Elephas maximus indicus: one gene and its partners. The protein of the gene in region 1 interacts with the protein of each later gene in a biochemical or structural test. Links are inferred from orthologs where the notes say so. Each region holds a gene or a part of one and is shown in the gene's direction. Other genes may lie near its edges. The genes, in order: PBX1, PKNOX1 and HOXB1.

Region 1 (7,862 bases):
CTTGGTGTTCCTTGGCTTGCAGCTCCAAACTCTGCCTCTGTTGTGACATGACCATCTTCCTTGTCTCTCGGTGCCTTTTCTCCTCTCTTACAAGGACACCACTCAAATCGGATTAGGGCCTGCTCGACTCCAGTGTGACCTCATGTTAATTTCATTGGTAACCTCATCAAAGATCTTGTTTCCCATCAAAGTCACATTCACAGGTACCAGGGGTTAGGACTTCAACATATCTTTTTGGGGACACAATGAAGGTCTGCCTAATGAGGCAAGGAAAGAGGAACGGGAAGTGGTGGGGGGGGGAGGGCAGATCTCTGTGAGCAGGACAGAGAAGGTAGGACAGAAGAAAAGGAAGAGAGAGTGGAAAAGTGGAAAAAAAGCAAGGTGAAAAGGGCAAGAGAAAAGCTGAAAGAGAAAGACAAGGATCCTTGGGCAGAGTAGATGCCATCCACTGTCTCAGGTACTGTCTTTGGTTCCTAGGCCTGGGTCTGGCAGAGGAGACTTTCTTTTCCCACATTTAAGTACAGAAGTTACAGAAACCTGGAGGCCAATTAAAATACAATTATAAAGATACACAGAAGAACGCCTGGTTAGATGATCTAAGACTGTGTGGTAGTGAATTTATTTCTGTGAGCATGTTGGGAGACCCATCTGTTGGCAACCAATAGAGGAAAGGAGTAGGATCCTTGTTCATTCCCCTTGCATTCCTCCTCTTTGTCCCTTAATGAAGATGAATACATGACCTAGTGGGCTTTTAACGATGTTTGGAAAAGAATCCTCAGAGTAAACCAGACACTCGACATAGAGGTAAACCCAGTTTGATGACTTTGTAGGCATAGTAGAATAATGTCAGATTGAGAACTGCTTTGCTAGTTGGTCAAGTTTTGATAGTGACGCATGTCTTTAAAGCCTGACTCAGTGGCCTTCAGTTATTAGTCTGAAGAACTGCAGCAGGAATATGGCACCATTCATTCTTTTAGCATGTATTTGTTAAACATCTACTACAAAGAAGGCACTGCTGAGATGTGGAAGGTGCATTATCCATCCCTTGTCACGACCCGTCACATATGGAAACTGCATGTGTAAGTTTCTCCTCAGACCTTACTTTCATGAGTTTCTTCATGTAAATAGAAGGTCCTAGTTTTCATTCTGTTTCACCCGTGGTAGTTTCTTCCCTTGATTTCCTTAATTCTGTGTAATGTATTAAAAATAGGAACATTTTTACGTCCACAGTTTGTCAAGTAATTCAACTACTAGGAGCCTTGGTTTCTTCGTCTGCAAAATGGGAGATTATAAACTCACAGGGAAGTTGTTAAAATTAAGTGCTAATGTACATAGAATGCCTGACACCCAATCAGCACTCAACAAATTGTACCTGTAACTACAATTATTATTCTGTTAATGCTGCCACATTCTTCTCAGCCAAGCTTAAAAACTCTTTATTCTTTCCATCCACATAAAATCAATTGCTGTGTTTTCTGGTTCTGCCTTGAAAATGATCCGCATAATGTGCTCTCTTTTCCATTTACACTGCCACCATCTTAATTTGCCATCCTATTTCACCTTCCCTTCCCAAACCATTTGGTATTGGGCAACCAGATAATTCTCCCTGAAATAAGATAAACAAACAATCTCAGTGGCTCTCCAGTGTCCCACCAAATAAGGCACAGACTCTGCTGTTCAAGGTTCTTGCGATAAGACCTTTCTAATATCATAACCATTGCAGCCCAAAAGAATCTGTTTCTGTCACATCGGTTAACCCTGCCTGCCAGAGCCAACTCATCGTTCAGATCTACCTCAAAGCCCACCTCTTATCACCTGAGCGGAGTTGCTCCCTTCTCTAATCCTTTCTAGGGTTTCCAGACGGTGGTGTCACTTCTATAGCATTTATTATATATATTGAAACTTATTTGGTTAAACGCACCAAACCAAAAACCAAACCCAGTGCCCTCGAGTGAACTCCGACTCATAGTGACTGTACAGGACAGAGTAGGATCGCCCCACAGATTATTCACGGAGGGCTGGCAGATTCGAACTGCCAACCCTTTGGTTAGAAGCTGTAGCACTTAGCCACTATGCCACCAGTGTTTCCGATTAAACGCACAGCTTAAGTTAGTAAAGAGCCTTGAACATAATAACATTATACTTAACCATAGTACCAAAAACCAAAACCAAACCCACTGCCGTCGAGTCGATTTGGACTCATAGGGACCTTATAGGACACAGTAGAACTGCCCCGTAGAGTTTCCAGGGAGCGCCTGGCGGATTTGAACTGCTGACCTCTTGGTTAGCAGCCATAGCACTTAACTACTATGCCACCAGGGTTTCCTAACCATAGTAAGTACTCAATAAATGTTTATTATTGGTGTTATTGTTGTGTGTACTTCTTATTTGCCTACAAAAATGTTCCTATATGACTTTGTATTGATGGTACCTTTTCTAATGCTTTATCTTTTGAGCTTTTGTTAGGCTCACAGTTAGAATTACTTGCTCACAAAGGGATTTCTTATAGGCCCTGGGCTGATTTTGTTTCGTGCTTTAAGATGTGATAACTTCCATTGCTCCAAGGGATATCCTAACTCAAGCTGTGATACGTAATTGGAGGATATAGTTTAGAGCTCAACTTTTGATCAGTGTTGATAAAACAAACAAGTTACAAGTTGGGGTATGCACGTGAATAGAACAGTTGTTATTAAGTAATAGGACATTGTAATTACAATTAATGCTCACTATTGCATGCCCTCATAGGAAGAACTGCCAAGTAGCTTGTTAAGAATTGCTTCAAAATGCTTTCTTAAGTGCTGCTTATCTTGCCAAACTTGTTTTGCCTAAAGATTGGGAAGGAGGCTGGATTGACGAAAACAATAACATTTTACTTGGGAACTGGAAAGCGCCTGGCAAGACTGCCCTCCATTTTGCAGATTGGGATCACTGAGGTTTGCAGCGGCTCAATGCATTTCCTTTTGCTATGCTGCTATCCAGGAAGAGGGCTGGCAACACACTAGAGTATTCTCTATTCCAAAATTTGCTGGGCTTTTCCTGCTTAACTGGTCCGCTGTATTTTATCTCATGGACATTATGACTGCGTACCCAGTCGGATTCCCCATCTGGCCTGCTTTGCTAATAAAAAAATTGGAAGAAAATCTGTGGTCCACCTAGAGCTACTGTATAGGACTTTAGCTACGAGTTTATTACCTGTTTTCCTGATTCCATTTTATTCTTTATTCTTTCCCACCCATTTTTAGTTTGAGTCATCCTGTTTAAATAAGTATCCTCCGAGTTCTTGGAAGGCGGAGGCGGTTAAGCACTCCTCTACTAACAGAGAGGCAGGTGGTTCAAACGCACGAAAATGCGCTTCAGCGGCCAGTGCAGTTCTAACCCGCAGCACAAGGGGTCGCCAGGAGTCGGAATCTATAGCAACTGGCTTGGTTTTTCAGTTTTGGAAGCATCTTACGTCTCTTCTCCAACAAGAGGGGCAATACATAGAACTAATATTTACACTATTCACACTTCCATTAGACCGAGGCAGGTTTGATAGTGGAAACACCATGCTTTTGGAGAGAACCACGAATTCAGTAACTCTAGAAACTTGGACAAGTTATTTTATTCGACCTTTCTGGGTTTCCTCTATGTAGAATGGAAATACTAAGCCATAAGTCACAGAAAAAATGTGTTGGGGATTAAATAAGATAATGCATGTAAATTACTCGGTGCATAGTAGGCATTCAATAAATGTCAGTTCCCTTCTTCTCTCAGTTAATAATGCTTATTAAACTATATTAAAAACTAAAACCAGACTGTGATAATGCATTTCCTTATGAAGTATTTAAGCCAAATAACTAATTTCCCCCAGGCGGGAGAGAAATGTTGAATTAGTTTCATTTCTGAACTTATTTCTTAATCTCCTTTTCTTCAGCATTATTTAGTTCCATAGTCCATAATTAGTTTTCATGCAACGAAAATGTCACAGTTCAGTATTCCTTTTAACTTCACTGCGACAGTTGTTTTTTAATCTATTATATCTGCTGTTCGTTAGAAATCACTATTAATTATATTATCAGTTCCATTCGTTTTCATAACTACTTCGTGCTGACAAACTTTTGCTTTCAACAATTTCCCTGAGTTCTAAGAATTTGAAAGACTCGAGTTTTAAATGGCCATGTTACAGCCAAAGAAAAACGCGGACAACCCCTGATCGGACTGTGTTCTTCCGTGTTCATGTTATTTATACATCTGCACTTAAGCGGAGGCACGTTCTCCTCAAGGACAGAAACGGAGAGAGGCAGGAGAGAAGAGTGGGAACTGACAAATGGAGCTGGAACGATGGCACCATGGCACCTTTAAGGACTGGAGACTTGGTATTAGCTCAGCCTCCTTCCCGGCCCACCTCTGAACTCTGATTGACAGGGCGCCGGGCGAGGAGGAGCTGAAGGAGGCTGGAGAGGAGGTGCGGCGAGGAAAGTAGGGGGAGGAGGGGCCCGTCTTTTCTCTGATGACCAATCAGAGCAGGGGGCGGGGCCCCGGGCGCCCTCCTCCCTCCTTCTCTCCCCCGCCCCCTGGCTTCCCCGCCCCCTCCCCCTTTTCTCTGCCCCCTCCCTTCTCCTCCTTCTCGTCCTCCTCCTCCTCCTCCTCCTCCTCCTCCTCTCAGGCTGTGGTTTTTCTGTATATGTTTCTGGAGTCCTGAGCCTGAGCTAAACAAAAGCAGGAGGCTGACGGGACTGCTGGAGTTTGCAGAGACACGGAGGAGAAGAGAGCCTGTGCTTTGCCTGCCGCCGCGGCTGGGGGAGATCTGGCTTTGGCAACAGCCCACCCCCTTTGAGATCACTCTGGCCCGGAGTGGGGGTGGGGGGCAGCGGGGGGCGGGGGGGAAAGTTTGCATTGCAATCCCCCTGCCTTGCTCTCCTTTCTCCCGATCAATGCATATTTGCAAAAGGATTAAGCCACAGATTTAAGCGACGGGAGCCCATTTCTGCCTTGCAAAGGAGACCGGACTGAAAAACCAAAAGCCAGCTCTGATTTCTTTTCGCCAAGTGGGAAGGTGGTTTATTTTTCTTGCTTTTTGGAGTCAACACCCTTCCCCACCAGCCCTTATCCCCACCCTCACCCCGCAACCCCTTCACGCCCCCCTCCCCCTCCCCACTCCCCATCCTCCCACCATCCTCTAAAGAGGCAAAGGGATTTTTTTTTTCTTTTCTTTTGGTCTTCTTTTTTCCCCCTTCCCTGTTTATCCTGAAAAGGATTTGAAGACAGCTTGAAGGATAAAAAGCCTTGGTGCTTCCCAGGAGCCGAGCCGAGGAGCAGAAGAGGAAGAGCCGGGGGCTGCCGTTGCCTTTGGAGATGGACGAGCAGCCCAGGCTGATGCATTCCCATGCTGGGGTCGGGATGGCCGGACACCCCGGCCTGTCCCAGCACTTGCAGGATGGGGCCGGAGGGACCGAGGGGGAGGGCGGGAGGAAGCAGGACATTGGAGACATTTTACAGCAAATTATGACCATCACAGACCAGAGTTTGGATGAGGCGCAGGCCAGGTGAGATGGAGGCTTTTCTTTTCCTTTCTTGGGGTTTGTTTTTCTCCGTCTCGCAGGGGGAAACAATGGGAACCGAGTCACCACAGCGCTTTCTTTTAAAATGTTATTTGTTTTCCCATTTTGGCGAGCAACTACATGGCGGAGGAGTAAAATTTAAAGGAGCGTTGTTATCGAAAGTGTAATCGCCCATGCCGTGATGTGGCTGTGCACGTATATATATCTCGTGTGTGTGAGTGTGAGAGAGAGTGAATATAGACATACTCATATATATCCACACTAACACTCAGCAACGACGAAAATGTTGCCAGCTGATCCGAAAGCGGCCCTCGGCACTTTTTTTACTGCCTTAAAAAAGTATCAGAGAGAGCAGAATTGTCAAGTTTTGAACCGCGTTCCGTGCGTTCTTGCTGAGGGACTCAGTCCCCTTACACAATAAAATGTCCCAAGAACACTTTATTTGCAGATTTAGTTGACTCCCTGCCTTAATTCAGCGACTTTTGGTTTTCTTTCTTGACTTATCACTCCAAAATTAATTTTTATTCTTTTTCCCTTCTGTCTCCCCCCTCGAAAGCAAAACACAACACAACAGGACATTTCTTTGTCAGTAGTTGTCAGCTATCCAGAGGGTATTTTGCATTCACTTAGAAAGAAAGAAAGAAAAGATAATTTTGCTTTTCGACATATTTGTTAGTTTCAGAAGACTCGGATGTTTAGTTAAACTTTATTATCTCTTAATTTGAGTTGGTTTACTAACCTTCGGTGACAGACAGTTTAGGTATGGTCCTTTAAAAAGGGGTGGGGGACAAAAATCAAGCATGCTCCTTACCCCATGCTTCCTTCAGGACCACTTAGACGGCAACTACATAGAAATGAAAGCATGTGTGAATTTTATGTATTTCAGTGCTATAGGCCCTGAAGACCTTCATTAAAGAAGGATAATAAAGAAGCTGTGTAGCTTCTCAACTTAATCTAACCGCCTGATCTGCAGTTCTCTATTCTAGGACTTTACAGTAAATTCCCTTTGAAAATAACACAGAGGCTAAATAGCAACCTAATAACAGCCTGCTGAAGGCTGGTCTGGAAAGAAAGAATTTTAAAAATCTAATGATCATATATGTCTCCATAATTATCTGCTTTGTTAAATCTCAGAAATGTTCCTTTTAAATCTTTCAAACGTATATACACAATTCCTATACCTCAAATGACTTATTTATGTGGAGAAGATATCATTATATGTATTTGTGTCTAAGGGAAAGAGGAATTTGAATTGAGAAAATGAGAAGGAGCAGCTAAAAGCCTGGATGCTATGAATTAGTCTTATTTTAGCGGCAAGCACATGCAACATGTAAACTCAAAAGTACTGAGGTTTACGGGTACTTGAAAACTTGGAAATGTTCAAAGATTTGACCTGTTCTAAATTTTTTAAAAAATGGGGAAAAGTTTTCAAAATGTAATAGGTGTTCTTTTTGATTTTTATTGTTTGAGGAAAAGCTAATAGGTATGCTAAGTAGAAGATTTCCCACTGCCAATTCTCTTTTGAATTGGAACAGATTTCTCCATTACATTGTTCTAGAAAAATACACTCAGACACACCAGTAAACTGGTTTAATAATAAGTTTGTGGAGTGGCAAAGGGCCAGGGGGAATGGATAGCCACCACTTTTCTGATGTTTAGTCCCACTCCTTTTTGTGAAATCGAGGCCAACTCTGGCTTGGTGGATTCCCCCTTTTCATGGCCTCGGTGCTGAAAGAGATGGAACACAATTTTGGAATGAGAAAATTTTCCCTTTTTCCTCTCTAACCCTGTTTGTGTGCTGTGGAAATGTAATATTTCTATAAAGCCATACGGAAATTTTTGTTTGCACTTGGGACTGTGTATAAGAATACAGTTAATAAAAACTATTTTTGAAGATCCAAAAAGAGGTCCTTAGTACATTCAAGAAGTCTTTTCCCCTCTTTCTGTCGCCCCACATTGAGAACTGACCAAATGACCACCCAGCTTTCTTTTGGCTTAAACAATGATGTAACTACTTAGCCAATACTGTGTCCTTTTCTACTTTTCCCAGTCACATCTTCTGAATTTACTAAGGAAACCATTAATATTTTAGATACAATGTATATGTTCATTTCTACAGTGTCTTGAATTTTGAGCTTGTTACTCCTTTGCCTGCTTCTGGTTTCTGTTCTTCATGAGCATAGGTGTCTATTTTTTAACTTTCAAAGGAATTAAAAAAGAATTGCTTGTGTTTAAAATGCCAGGGTTTTCTATTTATCCCCGCACATTAATTTTAGTGAATAGAATTGCCTTAACTAATGGCTGATATCATCAGTATTTTGT
Region 2 (8,012 bases), on another chromosome or scaffold:
GGACATGGGTGGAATGTGGCAACCAGTCATGAAGCACAGCTCCCCAGTGGACTGAGGACCATCCCTTGGTGTGGGTGGACATGGGTGGAACATGGTGACCAGTCATGAAGCACAGCTCCCCAGTGGACTGAGGACCATCCTCACCTGTGGGTGAGTAAGGAGCACAATGAGAATTCTTGAACCACAGGATCCGGGCCATTTGACTGGACCAGAGCTCAGGCCCTATGATTCCCCTGACAATTCCTCCAGCCAGCTGTGTTTCTAGGTTAGGATTTTCTCAACAACTAAACCCAGATTTCACAGTGTAAGGAAATTTAGGACAAGCAAAAAGGAATACTGAGCATCTCCAATGGGAAACTATACATTCTTGAGAACTTGCCCTTTTAGGTTATCTGATTCGAACTTTTCATTAACTTTGAGCTATTGTACAATCTATGAATTGTAGAGAACTGCCTTAGTCATCTTAATCATCTAGTGCTGCTATAACAGAAATACCACAAGTGGATGGCTTTACCAAAGAGAAATTTATTCTCTTAGAGTTTAGGAGGCTAGAAGTCCAAATTCAGGATACCAGCTCCAGAGCAAGGCTTTCTCTCTCTGTCGGCTCTGGAGGAAGGTCCTCGTCATCAATCTTCCCTTGGTCTAGGAGCTTATCCATGCAGAAACTCCAGGTCCAAAAGATGCATTCTGCTCCCAGAGCTGCTTTCTTGGTGGTATGAGGTCTCCCTGTCTCTCTGCTCACTCCTCTCTTTAATATCTCAAAAGAGATTGACTTAAGACACAACCTAATCATGTAGATTGGGTCCTGCCTCATTAACATAACTGCCCGCTAATCCCACCTCATTAACATCATAGTTGTAGGATTTACAACAGGTAGGAAAATCACATCAGACGACAAAACGGTAGACAATCACACAATACTGGGAATCACGGACTAGCCAAGTTGACACTTATTTTGGGGGGACACAATCCAATCCATAATAAAAACTAAGTGCAGCCACCGCCCATCTGTTAGTGGAGGCTTGTGTGTTGCTATGATGCTCAACCAGTTTCAGAGGAGCTTCCAGACTAAAATGGACTAGGAAGAAAGACCTGCTGATCTGCCTCCAAAAATCAGTCAGTGAAAACCGTGTGGGGCACAATGGTCCAATCCTGCTGTGCATGGGGTCACCATGAGTAAGTGGTCTACCTGGGGGCAGCTAACAATAACAATGACAATGCAAATGATTTTTTTCTATGGACATGTAAATGGATTCTGCACAGGGTAAGGACAACCTTCCCCACACCCTCCACTAGCTAGTTTTGCACAATTTGCAAGTTAGTTCCAGTACTCTTGTTCTTTGCATTTTCCTTCGAACTGGCTCTAACATCTTACCAGTTTTCCCATGTAAAGAATGAGTTCAATAAAACATTTGCCACATGTTCATCAGTGAATGACAGTAAAATTCCTACTCATGTGATGAGTAAAGTCTAGTGTTTATGCGTGCCTGCCTGCGTGTGTGTGCTGTTTCGGACAACAGACGGAACAAATAAGTTAGTTATACAGCGTTATAGATTGAATTGTATCCCCCAAGAAGATATGCTGAAGTCCTGATCTCCAGTACCTATGAATGTGACCCTATTTGGAAATAGGGTCTTCGAAGATGTGATCAGTTAGGTTAACATGAAGTCATACTGGAGTAAGGTGGGTCCTAATCCTCTATGAGTGATGCCCTTATAAAAGAATAGTAGAGACAGAAAGAAAGACACAAGAAGGATGGCCATGTGAAGACGGAGGCAGACATTTGGAGTGCTGCATCTATAAGCCAAGGAGTGCCTGGAGCTAACAGAAGTTAGGAAACCCTGGTGGGATAGTGGAAACCCTGTGGTACAGTGGTTAGGAGCTTGGCTGCTAACCTAAAGGTTGGCAGTTTGAATCCACCAGGCACTCCTTGGAAACTCTATGGGGCAGTACTACTCTGTCCTATAGGGTCGCTATGAGTCTGAATCAGCTCAATGGCAATAGGTTTGGGTTTTTTTTTTTGGTGGTATAGTAGCTAAGAGCTACAGTTGCTAACCAAAAGGTCAGCAGTTCAAATCTACCAGGTGCCCTGTGGAACCCCTATGGGGCTATCCTATAGGGTCATTATGACTCAGAATCCATTCGACGGCAATGGGTTTAACAGAAGTTGGGAGAGAGGTACGGAATAGATTCTTGCTCAGAGCCTCTGAGGAAACAACATGGCAGACACGGTGACTTGGACTTCAAGGCTTCAGAACTGAGATAATAAATTTCCATTCCTACAAGCCACCCAGTTTGTGGTACTTGCTAAGGCAGCCCGAGAAAACGAATACATGTAATAATTACACAGTATGTCAGAAGTACCTGTACAAACCCCATGGAGAAGAAAGCAGGCTGAGGGAATATTACGGATTGAATTGTGTCATTCCCCCCTCCCCCCGCCCCGCATTTGTGCTGTGAACCCTAAACCCTGTAGTGGTCCTACTTTGTTCTATAGCGTTGCTATGAGTCAGAATCCACTTGACCACACGGGTTTGGTTTGGTTTTTGTAGTGGTTATAATCCCATTTAGGAATGGACTTTCTTTGTTATGTTAATGAGGAAGTATTAGTGTAGGGCGTGTCTTAAATCAATCTCTTTGGAGATATAAAAGAGATTAAACAAGCAATCAAGAAATGGAGAGTGAAAGAGAATCTCAAAATAGACAAGGGACTTCCCCAAGCACTGACAGAAAGCCTTGCCCTAAAGCCAGCCCTCCCCCGCCCCCAAATTCAGACTACTAACCTCCTAAACTGTGAGAGAATAAATTTCTGTTTGTGAAAGCCATCCATCTGTGATATTTCTGTTATGGCAGCACTAGATGACTAAGACAGGGAGATAGGATTTATACTGGGGACTTAAATTTTAAACCTGAGAAACTGATATTGAAGCAAAGGCTTCAGGGAGGTGAGAGAGAGAACCATGTGGATATGTCTGGGAAGAGTGCTTCAGGCAGAGGGAACATGCAGTGCCAAGGTCCTGAGGCAAAGCAGGTCTGGTGTGATCAAGGAGCAGCAGGGGGACTGATTTGATGCGAGCCGGTGAATGAGGAAGGTAGTGTGGGCACTGAGGTCAGACAGGCATGGTGGCAGGGAAAGATCACATAGGGTTTGGGGGTTCCTGTGAAGACTCTGGAAACCTTGGTGGCATTGTAGTTAAGAGCTACTGCTGCTAACCAAAAGGTCTGCAGTTCAAATCCACCAGGTGCTCCTTGGAAACTCTGTGGGGCAGCTCTACTCTACAGGGTCGCTATGAGTCGGAATCAACTCGACGGCAATGGGTTAATGGTGAAGAGATGGGAGCTCTGCCTGGGGGGGAGGAGGGTTGTTGAGAGGAGTGGGATAGTCTAAGACATTTTTAAAAGGATCATGCCCTACTAATTGCTGGTGCCCCCCAACTGACCCAGGCGAACTGAAGCAGTTTAAGCATCAGCCAAACTGGCCATCTTGATAAGCAGAAACCTAGCCCTTATTTTTAAGAGGCTTTCTCATTCATTTTTCTTCCCTAAGCCTCTCCAAAAGGTCCCCAGGTGGGGCAAATGGTTTTCCCTCAACTGCTAACTTCAAGGTTGGCGGTTCAAACCCACCCAGTGCCACTGTGGAAGAAAGGGCTGGTGATCTGCTTCTGGAAAGATTACAGCCAAGAAAACCCTACGGGGCAGTTCTACTCTGTAACACACAGGGTCACCATGAGCTGGAATCGACTCTATGGCAATGCGTTTGTTTTTTGTGGTTGTTTTTAAGCCTCTCCAGATCCTAAGCATCTGTTAAGGACAAGCCATGCCCTTATTCCTGGAACTCTGCTAGGCCATCAACCTTGTGATGCAGCACATGGGGGTACTGGGCCTTGCTGGGGTCGCGGATGGCGCTTGCACTGGATTTTCAGCTCTGCACAGGGCCCGAGTCTTACCTCTCTTTTATGTCCTTACCAGCCTGAGGCAGGGTTGGGCAGTCAGTAAGGCTGGCACATTCCTGTGGTTTCCCTCAAAGTGCTCACCAGTGTTCCTGCCGGCTCTCACCTAGCATGCCACCTCCCCCACCATCTCTGGGGCCACATCTGCAGGAGATGATGGGGAGAAAAGAAAAGACGCAGCAGCCAGAGAAGGCTCCTGCTGGACATACCAGAGAGCTCTGAGGCCAGACGGTGGGGTGGACTGGGCCTGGGCCTCAGCTGGCCCCTGGGCTTTCCAGCAATAGTTTGTACTGGGTTCTGGGTGACTGAAGACACCCAGGTCCTGCGGTTCTGAAGCCCCCACTGCCTTAAAGGCTTGATGGGAACCAAATAAAAGCTACTGACGAGGGTGAGGCAGGTGATGGCAAGGCTGGGCTCACAGCACAAGGCCCCTTGCTTATGTAATGCTCTGCTGTTGCCATCTTGGAATTCATACTAATTTTCTGAACAAGGGACCTTGAATTTCCATTTTACGCTGCACCTTGACAGTTATGCCGCCAGTCTTGACTACTGAGTTTTCGGGGGGCCTCTCTGCGTATTCCACCTGCCTCACTCACCCTGGCCCCTGCTCTGCTACACTTTGTCCCTGAAAAATGCATTCTGCATGTGGTTTCATGGTGTCTGTGGACCCATGCAGCCATATTAAGAATCTTATCCCTGCTGTTCATGCCTGGTCCACCTCAGTCATCCTCCAGCAAGTTCCCCATTCTGGGCCCTGGAGGAGGTGGGTGCAAGCTGAGCTGCCCTTCTTTACCGCTGTGTGTGGACTTAATATCGAGGTTCGTCCTGGGTGGGCCGTTCTAGAAAACGTTCACAGTCAGACAAACAATGTGCATTCGCACTGCGGAAGGAGCTGCCCTTTCCTTAGGTTCCTGGAGTGCTGCGGCCCGTGGGAATGGTCGGTACCTTGTAAACAGGCTATGCTGGGAGGCTGGCCCCTGACAGTACAGGCGTCCTCTGCCAGCGGAGCTCCGATGTTACCTTGACACAAGGGCCTGCTGGGGTCTCCTGGGCGGAAAGGTACGCTGACACCATGTGGACTGGAGACCCGGCGGACCCGGGGGCGTGCCTGCAGTTTTCACCCAGCCCACGCCGCCAGTCTCGTGGCCGGAAGGAAGCCCTCTGCCGAGGGTCGATGGGGGCCACCCATGCCGCAGGTCCCATCGACAGCGACCCCAGACGCCGAGCACAGCCTGCTGCCACGGGTTTGGGGCGAAGCGGGGCGCGCGCAAGTGCGCTCCGCAGTTTCATCCTAGCTCGGTAGAGGGGCGCCCCGCAGACAAAGGGGGAGCCGCGCACCCTGGGCGGGCCCGGTGCCTGCAGGCCGAGGGGGTCGGCGGCTGCATCCTCGGATAGTACAGCCCGGGCCTCCCTGCCTGACCGCGGAACATGGTCTCGCCCAGCCCGGAGCTGCGATCCCAGAGCCTCTTCCAGTGGCAGGGACGGCGCGGCGGGGGCGTGGCGCGCGCCCGAGGCCACGCCTATCGCTGCATAGTCATAAGGCCAGGAATCCCTGCCTGCGGGGCGGGCCGCTCCTCGCGCCCGGGCGCGGCCAGCTGGGGGCGTAGCCGGGCTGGGCGCGAGGCGGGGCGGAGCCGGCAGCTGGCCCACCCCCGCGCCGGGCCCCGCCCCCAGCCCCCGCCTCGCAGGCCGCGGGGCGGGGCCCGTGGCCGGCAGGCTCCGCCCCCGCGCTGAATATTGATGTGGCGCGCGTCGGCGTCGCCCTCCTCCCATTGAGCGAGGCTGTGTCGCGTGGCCCAGCGTCGGCGTGACGGTTGGACGCGGGCGCGGCACTGCGGGTCCCGATTGCTGCAGCCGCTTGTCAGTGTGATGAAGATTGGCACCCAGGTAAGCTGTCACTCAACCGCTCCGCCGCCGCCGCCGCAGCTCTCCGCCGCCGCCATCCCTATCAATCACGCGGGCCGAGCCGCCGCAGCCGCCACCCCAGCGCCGCCGCCCGGGTAGCGGCGGGCCGGCGGTGCCGAGGGGAGCCCACCCTTGACCCGCCACCCCGGGCAGGGGGCGGGAGGGGGGCGCGCGGGCAGCGGGTGGGGGAGGGGAGCTGGCGGCTGCCGGGGCGGGGGCGCTGTCCGTCCGGAGCTGACGCGGGGTCGCGCCGAGTTTGTTTTTGAGTGTCGGTTTAGGCAGAAGGAAATTTCTGGAAGGCGCCGCCGCCGCCTCGCTGGGCCCGCTGCGAGGCGCGCGCTCTTAACCGTCCTTTTCGGAGCGCGGCGCGCGCCCCTGCGCGGGGCGGGGGCGGCAGTGGGGGGAGGGGAGCGGGCCGCGGGCGCGCGCGGGCCGGGAGGGGCGGGGCTGGGAACCGGAGGCGCGCGCTGGGCGGGGCGGGGCTTGAGGCCGCGGGGGCGCGCGCACCGGAAGAGTGGGGGGGCTAGGGCCGCGGGGGCGCGCGCCGGCCGCGGGGGCGCGCGCCGGCCGCGGGCGGAAACGGGCTGCGAGGTCCCCGGTTTCTGTCGCGGTCGCGGGGGGACAGGTGCACCAGGCGGCGGGTCTCCGGGGCTGCCGGCGGCGGGGCTCGCGCGGTCCGGGAGGCGGGAAAATGGCGGCTGCGCGCAGGCCCGGCTTGAGGCGGGGTCGGGCCGCGCTGAGGGGGCGTCCCCAGCCGCGCGGCGCTCGGAGGCGCCCTGGCCTCGTGGAGCTGCTCCGGGCTCGCGGGGCGCAGGCCGAGCCCTGCCGACCCGGGGTCCCACACGCCGGCCCCGCCGCGGGACCCGTGCTTCCGCGCCCCGCGACCGCGCAGCTGGTGAAGGGGCGACCCCAGGGTGACCGGGGGACCCGAGCGCCCACTTCCGAGGGGCCGGCGCGGCGTTCAGACGGCCTGCGCCTGGGCTGTTTGCGGAGGGCTGGGGTTCCCGTTTGTAGGGAATTAGTTAAAAGTGTATTGTTTATACTAAATGGCAATTTTGAAATAGATGGCTGGAAGTCTTTGGCGTGGTCTGGCCGCTCGCAGGATTTTCACATTCCTTTAGAGAAAATGAGTCACTTAAGAAAAATCAAGTCTGCTTTCTTTCCTCCTAGTGGCTCTGGAAATGCCCTATTTTGACAGTGGCTCTGAGACTTGACCCGTTAGGCCCTTCATTTGTCATGGTTGACTCATAAAATACGACTTAGAATTTATTGATAGAAGCGATGAGGGCAGAAGTTACAGATACTTGGGGGCTGTGTGTGCGCGCACCAGCTTGTACATAAACAAGTGGACATTCGATACATTTGATGGTGGACTTGCAACAATCCAGGCTATATTGGACATGTTAGGGCGTGAAGAGGAACTCTGGTTGTGCAGTGGTTAAGCGCTAGGCTGCTAACTGAAAGATTGGAGGTTCAAACCTACCGGAACCCACCATCCGCTCTGCGGGAGAAAGATGTGGCAGTCTGCTTCTGCAAAGATTACAGCCTGGGAGACCCTATGGGGCGGCTCTTCTCTGTCCCATAGGGTCCCTGTGAGTCAAAATCAATTGGATGGCAACTTTTTTTTTTTTTTTTCTTAAGGGCGTGATAATTTAGTTTTTTAGATAGTAAGAATTGGCTTTATGTAAAATTGACTTTCCTTAGGAAGTAGATACATTCCACTTTAGTGTGGGAAAAACAACAACGCATCTTAAGCATCATTTCATAGTTTTCCCTGGTATGTTGGAAAAGTGGACTTCACTAAGTATTACAGGGAAGCATTGAGGTGAAATGTAAAACTCTTTGGCAGAATAGTTATTGGTGATATTCTCGAGTTGTAGGTACATTGGTTTGGAAGACAGCTGACAGACTACTCAACCTTGCCTTTCATTGTTTTCCTTTCCCCTAATTTACTCCTCTGGCTGCCAGCTTGTAGCAGCACATCTAATTAGCATGGAGAATGGTACCTGGATCATCTAGTTACAATGTTTCATTGAATCTAAAATGTACCTTTTGATATGCCACTCAAAGTGCTCACACTTTTAACCCACACAGTGCTGTTTTAGCATAGCAATGGACTGAGGCTTCCCGGGTCACATTGTGCTCGGGTTGATGGG
Region 3 (6,581 bases), on another chromosome or scaffold:
AGTGAGGCAGATAGATATTTTGTGCCTGAAAGAAACCCAACAAACTGCTTCCTTCTCAGAGGAGAGAGTGAAAAGCAAAGAAGCCCCATTAAAACCTCCTCATACTCCCAAAGAAACAGAAAAATCACAGTTTGGACAAGTCATTCTGCTTCAAATTCAGGTGGATCAGTGTTCAATAAGGTTTCTAAAGTGGGTATTTTGGCCACAAACTATCCCATTTGGATAAGCCCAATTAAGTAGAAAATTATTTCAATTATTTGTGCCACTCTAATCTTTCCTTTTAAAAAGTGGTCCAATTCTCTGACTTATCTTTTACTCCAGATAAAAATTTACATCCTGTTGATCTATCTGGATCACAGAAGTTAAGTTCAATCCCTACCCCTGGGAAGGACGGTTGCTAAGCAAAAGTCTTCAAAGAAGGAGAGACAACATCTTCCCTAGAAAACGTTCCCCAAATATTTGGAAAAAACCAGGTTGTTTCTAATATGTAATCTCAAAACTTTCAGCTGCAATTTGAAATAGTTTAGGTTCTTTTATAGATATAAAATACTAGGCTTCAGTTTTCAAAATACTCTTTAGCATAGAAGAAAACCCTTTGTCAAAACAGTCAACTTTCTCAATTCACAATTAAATTTGCATTTGATAAAGTACATATTGTAAAATATATAGTGATATGTTACATGAAAATATAGCACATATGCTATTCATCTACTACATGTTTCCGTATTTTAATATGTTAGTTATATTTTTTAAAAAACAGAAGACTGACTCATACTGTTTCAGAATGTGCATGTAATGTTACCATACATTCATTAAGTCCTCTGTGGTTTATATTTTTTATTTGTTTTAATTCTACTAGTAATGTAGTGTGGAAACCCTGGTGGTGTTGTGGTTAAGTTCTACAGTTCCTGACCAAAAGCTCAGCAGTTCAAATCCACCAGGCGCTCCTTAGAAACTCTATGGGGCAGTTCTACTCTGTCCTATAGGGTCGCTACGAGTTGGAATCAACTTGATGGCAAAGGGTTTTTTTTTGTTGTTGTTGTTGTTAGTAATGTGGTGAAGTAAGTAGTATTACACCAATTTTATAGAAGAGGAGGCTGAGACTCAGAGAAGCCAGGAAACTTGTCCAGAGTCATAGGGCTAAGAAATGGCCAAACAAGGACTTGAACCCAAGTATTCTGGCCTGAAACCTAGTACTCTTCTCATTACAATGTGTACCACCCACAGTCTAAGGTTCTTTATTAGATTAATGATAGTTCAATTAACTTGCATTAAATGAAACACCACTGAACTCACACACCCCCCATCCCCAACAACAATAAGAATCCATCCTCTTATAGAGAAAATTTGTAACCCTGAATATCTTTTTAGCTCTTAAGCGTCAACGTTTGCTCTTGGGCTTGGCCTTCAAATGTATCCCAGAGATATGGATTGAGATCAGTAAGGCAGAGACACTTAAAGGCCTAATGAAAGATTCATATTGCTCCTGCCAACTCCTAGCTGAGGCAGCTTCTACAGAGAGAGCCAGAATCTGAGGTATAACTTCTAATATACCCAACTCTGGTTAAAAAGAGTTCCCTTACTTGTATTCTCCGTGTGGTAAGGACCAGCAACCCTCAAAGATAATTTCAGTTCTAAACATGTCGATGTTCAGCTAGCTCCTCTACACATCAAAGCAGATCATACAAACCAGGAAATCAATTTTATTTCACTTTCATCTCCCTGATGAATTTAGTTTGTTTAACCAGAAAATCCTGTAGCTTATAGGTTACTCCAGATGTGGATTGCTTCATCTTTTTTTTTTTTTTTGCACTCAGTCATGAATTTAGCAAGAAATACAGGCTCCATAGACTCTCCAGGCCAGAGGCCAGAGAAGCTTCTTTTAAGGAGGAAGAAACTCAGGTATCTAGGAAAGCACGTTGCTTGATTCCTCCCAGTCCTTTCTGCTGGGGCTGAGAGAGCCAGTAGGAACTCTAGAAAGTTCTAATATATCTGCTACAGAAGGGAAGGTGGCAAGACTCAAGGATGAATTGTAGAGCATGGCAAATTTAGAGAACTGAGGCCAAAGCAGTCACTACAATTGGCAGTATGACTTGAGGAACTTTTGCCCCACCCTTTTCTTGACTATTTCTGTTATTAGGGGGACTGAATTTCCCCAAGTCTTAGATAGATTTATGCTGTTTTATTAAAGTGATTTGGAATTTACCTCCTTTGGGTCTCACATTGATCCCTTTATTTGGAGGGCAAGGGATGAGGTGGAGTAGGTGCTGCCTGGACTGAGGGAATTGTGGAAAGTGACGAAATCTAAAGTCTCTCAGAAGCAGGGCAGCCAGATCAGATATAGGCCTAGCTCAGGTTTGGGGTTAGAAGAGAAACACTAATACTCTACCCACTTAATCTCTAAAAAAAAATCTCTAGCCTCTCTTTAATATCCCCAAAGGTCTCAGCCTGTATGGAGGACATCTTAAAGTAAGATTAAGAAGCTGGGAGCATCTATAAACTCAAAAAGGAGTAATAGAAAGAAATATACTTTTCTAAGCTCAATATTCCTTTTCTCTTCAATCCTTCTGCAGACCACCTCTCCCTCCCATCTCAATTCTCCTTTCCTTTGTCTACCCTCTTCCCTTTGGCAGTGAACATTCTCTCACCCTCCCCCATTGCATCTCTCTCTTAAAGAAGTTACCAGCTGGTTCTTCCACCCCCGTCTTGTCTGGGTCTGCAGCAGAGTCTGAAGCAAAGGATGGGTGAGAAGGGGGAGGGGGCAGGGGTCTTGTGAAATGCTTTGAGGTCTTTCATAATTGGGAGCTAAGCAGGGCTCACAGTTACTAGAGAAGGGAAAGGCAGTGTGATAAAGACAGGAAACGGGAGAGGCAACTATAGAGAAGGACAGGCAAAAATGAGGGAGAATGAGAGACAGAAAGATGGAGAGACACAAAGACAAAGAGATAATTTTGGGGTCCCTTGCAGAGAGATAAGTATTCACCCTGCCTTTTTTAGGATGGTGAAACCTGAGAAGTTTTGAGGGTTCTCTCTGGACCTGTCCCACCTGCTTCCCCTTCCTCTCCTGAGCTCAATTGTTTACAGAGATCACTCCCTGAACTCTTGCCCTCCTGGACTTGCCCTAGCCCCGGCCCCAGGCCTCTGGCCACGCAGACACCCTGACAGGTTACAAATGAGTGTGGGTGTTGGATTGCACCAAGCTCTTGTCTGAGGCATCTGTAGGAGGAGAATCAATGGGCTTCTAGTCTAGTTCCATCCAGGGTCTGAAAGAGTGAAGGAGGTACTTCCTGTTCCCCTGACCCCAAAACTTAGCCCAACAGACATACAGAGCAGAAAGGGGTGACTGAGACCCCACTCTTGAACCTTAGAATTCAGAGTCTCAGGACTTCCACACTAATTTTTCCAATTTGCTGAGCAAACTCTCCTTATCAATTCTAGAAAATTAACTGAAAATAAGAATAATCTTTTAAGACTTAACTGGCATGGAGTTTATGGATTTGAGGTTTGGGTTTTTTTTTTTTGGAAGGAAATAGAGGTAGTGCTGGAGAGAGGAATAGGATGGAGCCAGAAGAATCCAGGGTCTACACTAGTTTTAAACACTTCAGAAATAGAATAAAAATCTCCCTCTGCTTCCTCCCCCTGAAAAACACCTAGCTCTGTGCTCATTGTAGCTCTCTAGAGAGATATAGGGAGTTATTTAAGTCTGAGTGAGTGAGCCAGCTACAGCTATGGATGGCTAGAGAGAGGATAAATATATCTAGAGAGATGAGTTGATGGATAGGTAGGGAACGAATATAAACATGGAGAGAGATGGACGAATGGAGAGATAGATTGAGACAGAGAGAATATAAAGAGAGGCTGAGGGAGAGAAATGGATGTATGAATGAGAAGAGAGTGTTTATGTGGAGAGATGGAGAGAGGAATGGGATGTTTCTCATCCTCCTCATAGTCCTGCCTTGCTCGCTAAAATGTCAGCTTCCCACCCATACTTAATGAATTCTTCATCTAGATTCTAGACTCTGCCTCACACCCTTAGGCGCCTTTGCCCTCCCCCCACCCACACAGTCATCCATTTGGCCCAAGATAACATACTTCACCCAGCAGTCCTAGCACATCACCCCAAGACAAATTGGTAGAAAGAAGCACAGAATGAGAGTTCTGGGCAAAGTAAAGAAGGCTGGATTCCCTACTTCCAGGTTTACAGCCTTGGGGAGAAGGCTCATTTGGAAGCTGGGAAGAGTGGGGGCCAGCTGGATTGAATTTGTCCAAATCTAATAACCCAGGAGCCTCTTGAAGGCTTTGGGGGTTGGGAGGAGAGGAAAGTCTTGAATATTCTTCTAACTTTTCCCCCCTCTCCCTCTGGTCCCTTCTTTCCAAAAGTCTTTGAAGAAAGATGTTTTTGACGCTTCCATGTCGCTCTCAGATGGATGGGCTGCGGGTGATTGAAGTGTCTTTGTCATGCTAATGCTTGGGGGGTGATGGATGGGCGCTGGGGCTGCCAAACTCTGGCCCACTGCGCCCATTGGCCTGGGAGAGATCACATGCGCCCCCCCCCCCCACCTTCCTAGAGGATCGCTGGCCCAGGCGAGCTGGGCCGGGCCATGGATGCAAGCCTCGGCTCTGTGACATACTGCGGAAAGGTTGTAGGGCAAGAGGGTATCTCCCCCAAACGGGCCGACCCTCCTGCGGCCTCGACGCATGGACTATAATAGAATGAACTCCTACTTAGAGTACCCACTCTGTAACCGGGGACCCAGCGCCTACAGCGCCCACAACGCCCCTACCTCCTTTCCCCCTTGTTCGGCTCCGGCCGTTGACAACTACGCAGGCGAGGCCCGCTATGGCGGGGGGCTGCCCAACCCAGTGCTCCAGCAGAACCCTGGCTACCCGACGCAACAGCCGCCTTCAGCGCTGGGGGTGCCCTTCGCCAGCTCCGCGCCCTCGGGATACGCCCCAGCCGCCTGCAGTCCCAGCTATGGGCCTTCTCAGTACTACCCTTTGAGCCATCCTGAAGGAGATGGAGGCTACTTTCACCCCTCAAGCTACGGGGCCCAGCTGGGGGGCTTGTCCGACGGCTACGGAGCCGGGGAAGCTGGCCTAGGGCCTTACCCTCCGCCGCAGCCCCCTTACGGGAACGAGCAGACTGCGAGCTTTGCTCCGGCCTATGCTGATGTCCTCTCCGAGGACAAGCAGCGGCCCTGCGCATCAGAACCCAGCACCCCCACGGCCCGGACCTTCGACTGGATGAAGGTCAAGAGGAATCCACCCAAGACAGGTAGGGCTCGGGTGTGGCCGTCCCTCCCAGGGGCCCAAAGCCGCTTCACTGCCCCTGCACTGAAGTGTCCTGGGCCAGGGCTGGGCACTTCCCTCTGTACCTCCCAGCTAGAGGCAGGTAAGAGCATTATGGAGCATCTTAGGTCAGGTGGGGTTCCCTCCACTTAGTGAGTGCCGGGTCACCCCCAAGAGTAAGTCTACACTTCCTGATCTGTGAGCCCCGCACAAGCCCAGGACCTGGTGCATCTGGGATGGGGGTGGGGGATGGAAGTGTGGGGTTAGTTGCTCTAGATTTGGAGATTGGGGGAGGTTGGTTGCCTGGTGATCCCTGAGAACTTTGAAAGCTGGATTTGGACAGAGTGATGAATGGAGGTGCAGAGCTGGCCCGGGAGAAGGGGAGGGGAAGGAGATAGAGGTGAGAAAAATGACGTGGCCCTTCTCCCCGCCCCGTCCCTAGCAAAGGTGTCGGAGTTGGGCCTGGGAGCACCCGGCGGCCTCCGCACTAACTTCACTACGCGGCAGCTAACCGAGCTGGAGAAGGAGTTCCACTTCAACAAGTACTTGAGCCGGGCCCGGAGGGTAGAAATCGCCGCCACCCTAGAGCTCAACGAGACGCAGGTCAAGATTTGGTTCCAGAACCGCCGCATGAAGCAGAAGAAGCGAGAGAGGGAGGGAGGCCGGGCGCCCTCAGCCCCACCAGGCTGCCTCAAAGAGGTGGCTGGAGACGCCTCGGACCAGTCGGCATGCACCTCCCCAGAAGCCTCACCCAGCTCCGTCACCTCCTGAACTAAAACTTCTAACCCAACGGGGCCTCCTGGCACTCAAGCACCCCAGTCCAGCCCTTCTCTTTGGCTCTCCCCAACTCCAGACCTCGGCTTCACCGACCCATCAATTCTCCTCAAGGCTAGGGGCGCCAGTTTAGAGCTGCCCTTGTGGGGAGGGGTGTAACTGTTCTCTGTTCTGGGCCGGGAGCTGATGGCTAGGGACCCTACAAGACTAGAGGCAGGAGAGACCCCGACCCTGTCAAAGGTGGAGAGAAGGGCCTCTGCCTTTGATCTGGAGATCAGCTCTTGGTCATCACGTGGGTGGGGGTGGGAGATGGGAGTGGAGTCCACATCCTTGTGGATTCTCCTTTCCTTTCTAACTTCCGTTTATTCAGTTCAGTGCCTTTGAGCTTTGAGGACTTTTGCAGCGAACTCCTATCCTACTAACCTCCCCTTGGGACAGCGGGAAAGCTCTGAATTTTCTTTGGGGAGAGGAGGTGTTTGGGTACAGGTAGATTATTACCAGTGCTTAATCTCTCAAGT

The links.
Region 2: the proteins of PBX1 (region 1) and PKNOX1 form a complex in vitro, tested with the Homo sapiens proteins (2 studies listed by BioGRID). The link is inferred for Elephas maximus indicus from reciprocal best matches to the Homo sapiens genes PBX1 and PKNOX1.
Region 3: the proteins of PBX1 (region 1) and HOXB1 are reported together in a solved structure, tested with the Homo sapiens proteins (2 studies listed by BioGRID and IntAct, with this or other methods). The link is inferred for Elephas maximus indicus from reciprocal best matches to the Homo sapiens genes PBX1 and HOXB1.

The regions. Positions count from the first base shown.
Region 1 is NC_064821.1:204,550,323-204,558,184, forward strand, and holds the start of PBX1 (pre-B-cell leukemia transcription factor 1), read left to right. Parts: upstream 1-4,849; 5' UTR 4,850-5,035; exon of another isoform or gene 5,036-5,234; 5' UTR 5,235-5,334; coding exon 5,335-5,525; intron 5,526-7,862. UniProt on the Homo sapiens protein: Transcription factor which binds the DNA sequence 5'-TGATTGAT-3' as part of a heterodimer with HOX proteins such as HOXA1, HOXA5, HOXB7 and HOXB8. Binds to the DNA sequence 5'-TGATTGAC-3' in complex with a nuclear factor which is not a class I HOX protein.
Region 2 is NC_064820.1:226,908,383-226,916,394, forward strand, and holds the start of PKNOX1 (homeobox protein PKNOX1), read left to right. Parts: upstream 1-4,952; 5' UTR 4,953-5,010; exon of another isoform or gene 5,011-5,465; intron 5,466-5,697; exon of another isoform or gene 5,698-5,838; intron 5,839-8,012. UniProt on the Homo sapiens protein: Activates transcription in the presence of PBX1A and HOXA1.
Region 3 is NC_064837.1:44,987,816-44,994,396, forward strand, and holds HOXB1 (homeobox protein Hox-B1), read left to right. Parts: upstream 1-4,698; coding exon 4,699-5,275; intron 5,276-5,731; coding exon 5,732-6,060; downstream 6,061-6,581. UniProt on the Homo sapiens protein: Sequence-specific transcription factor which is part of a developmental regulatory system that provides cells with specific positional identities on the anterior-posterior axis. Acts on the anterior body structures.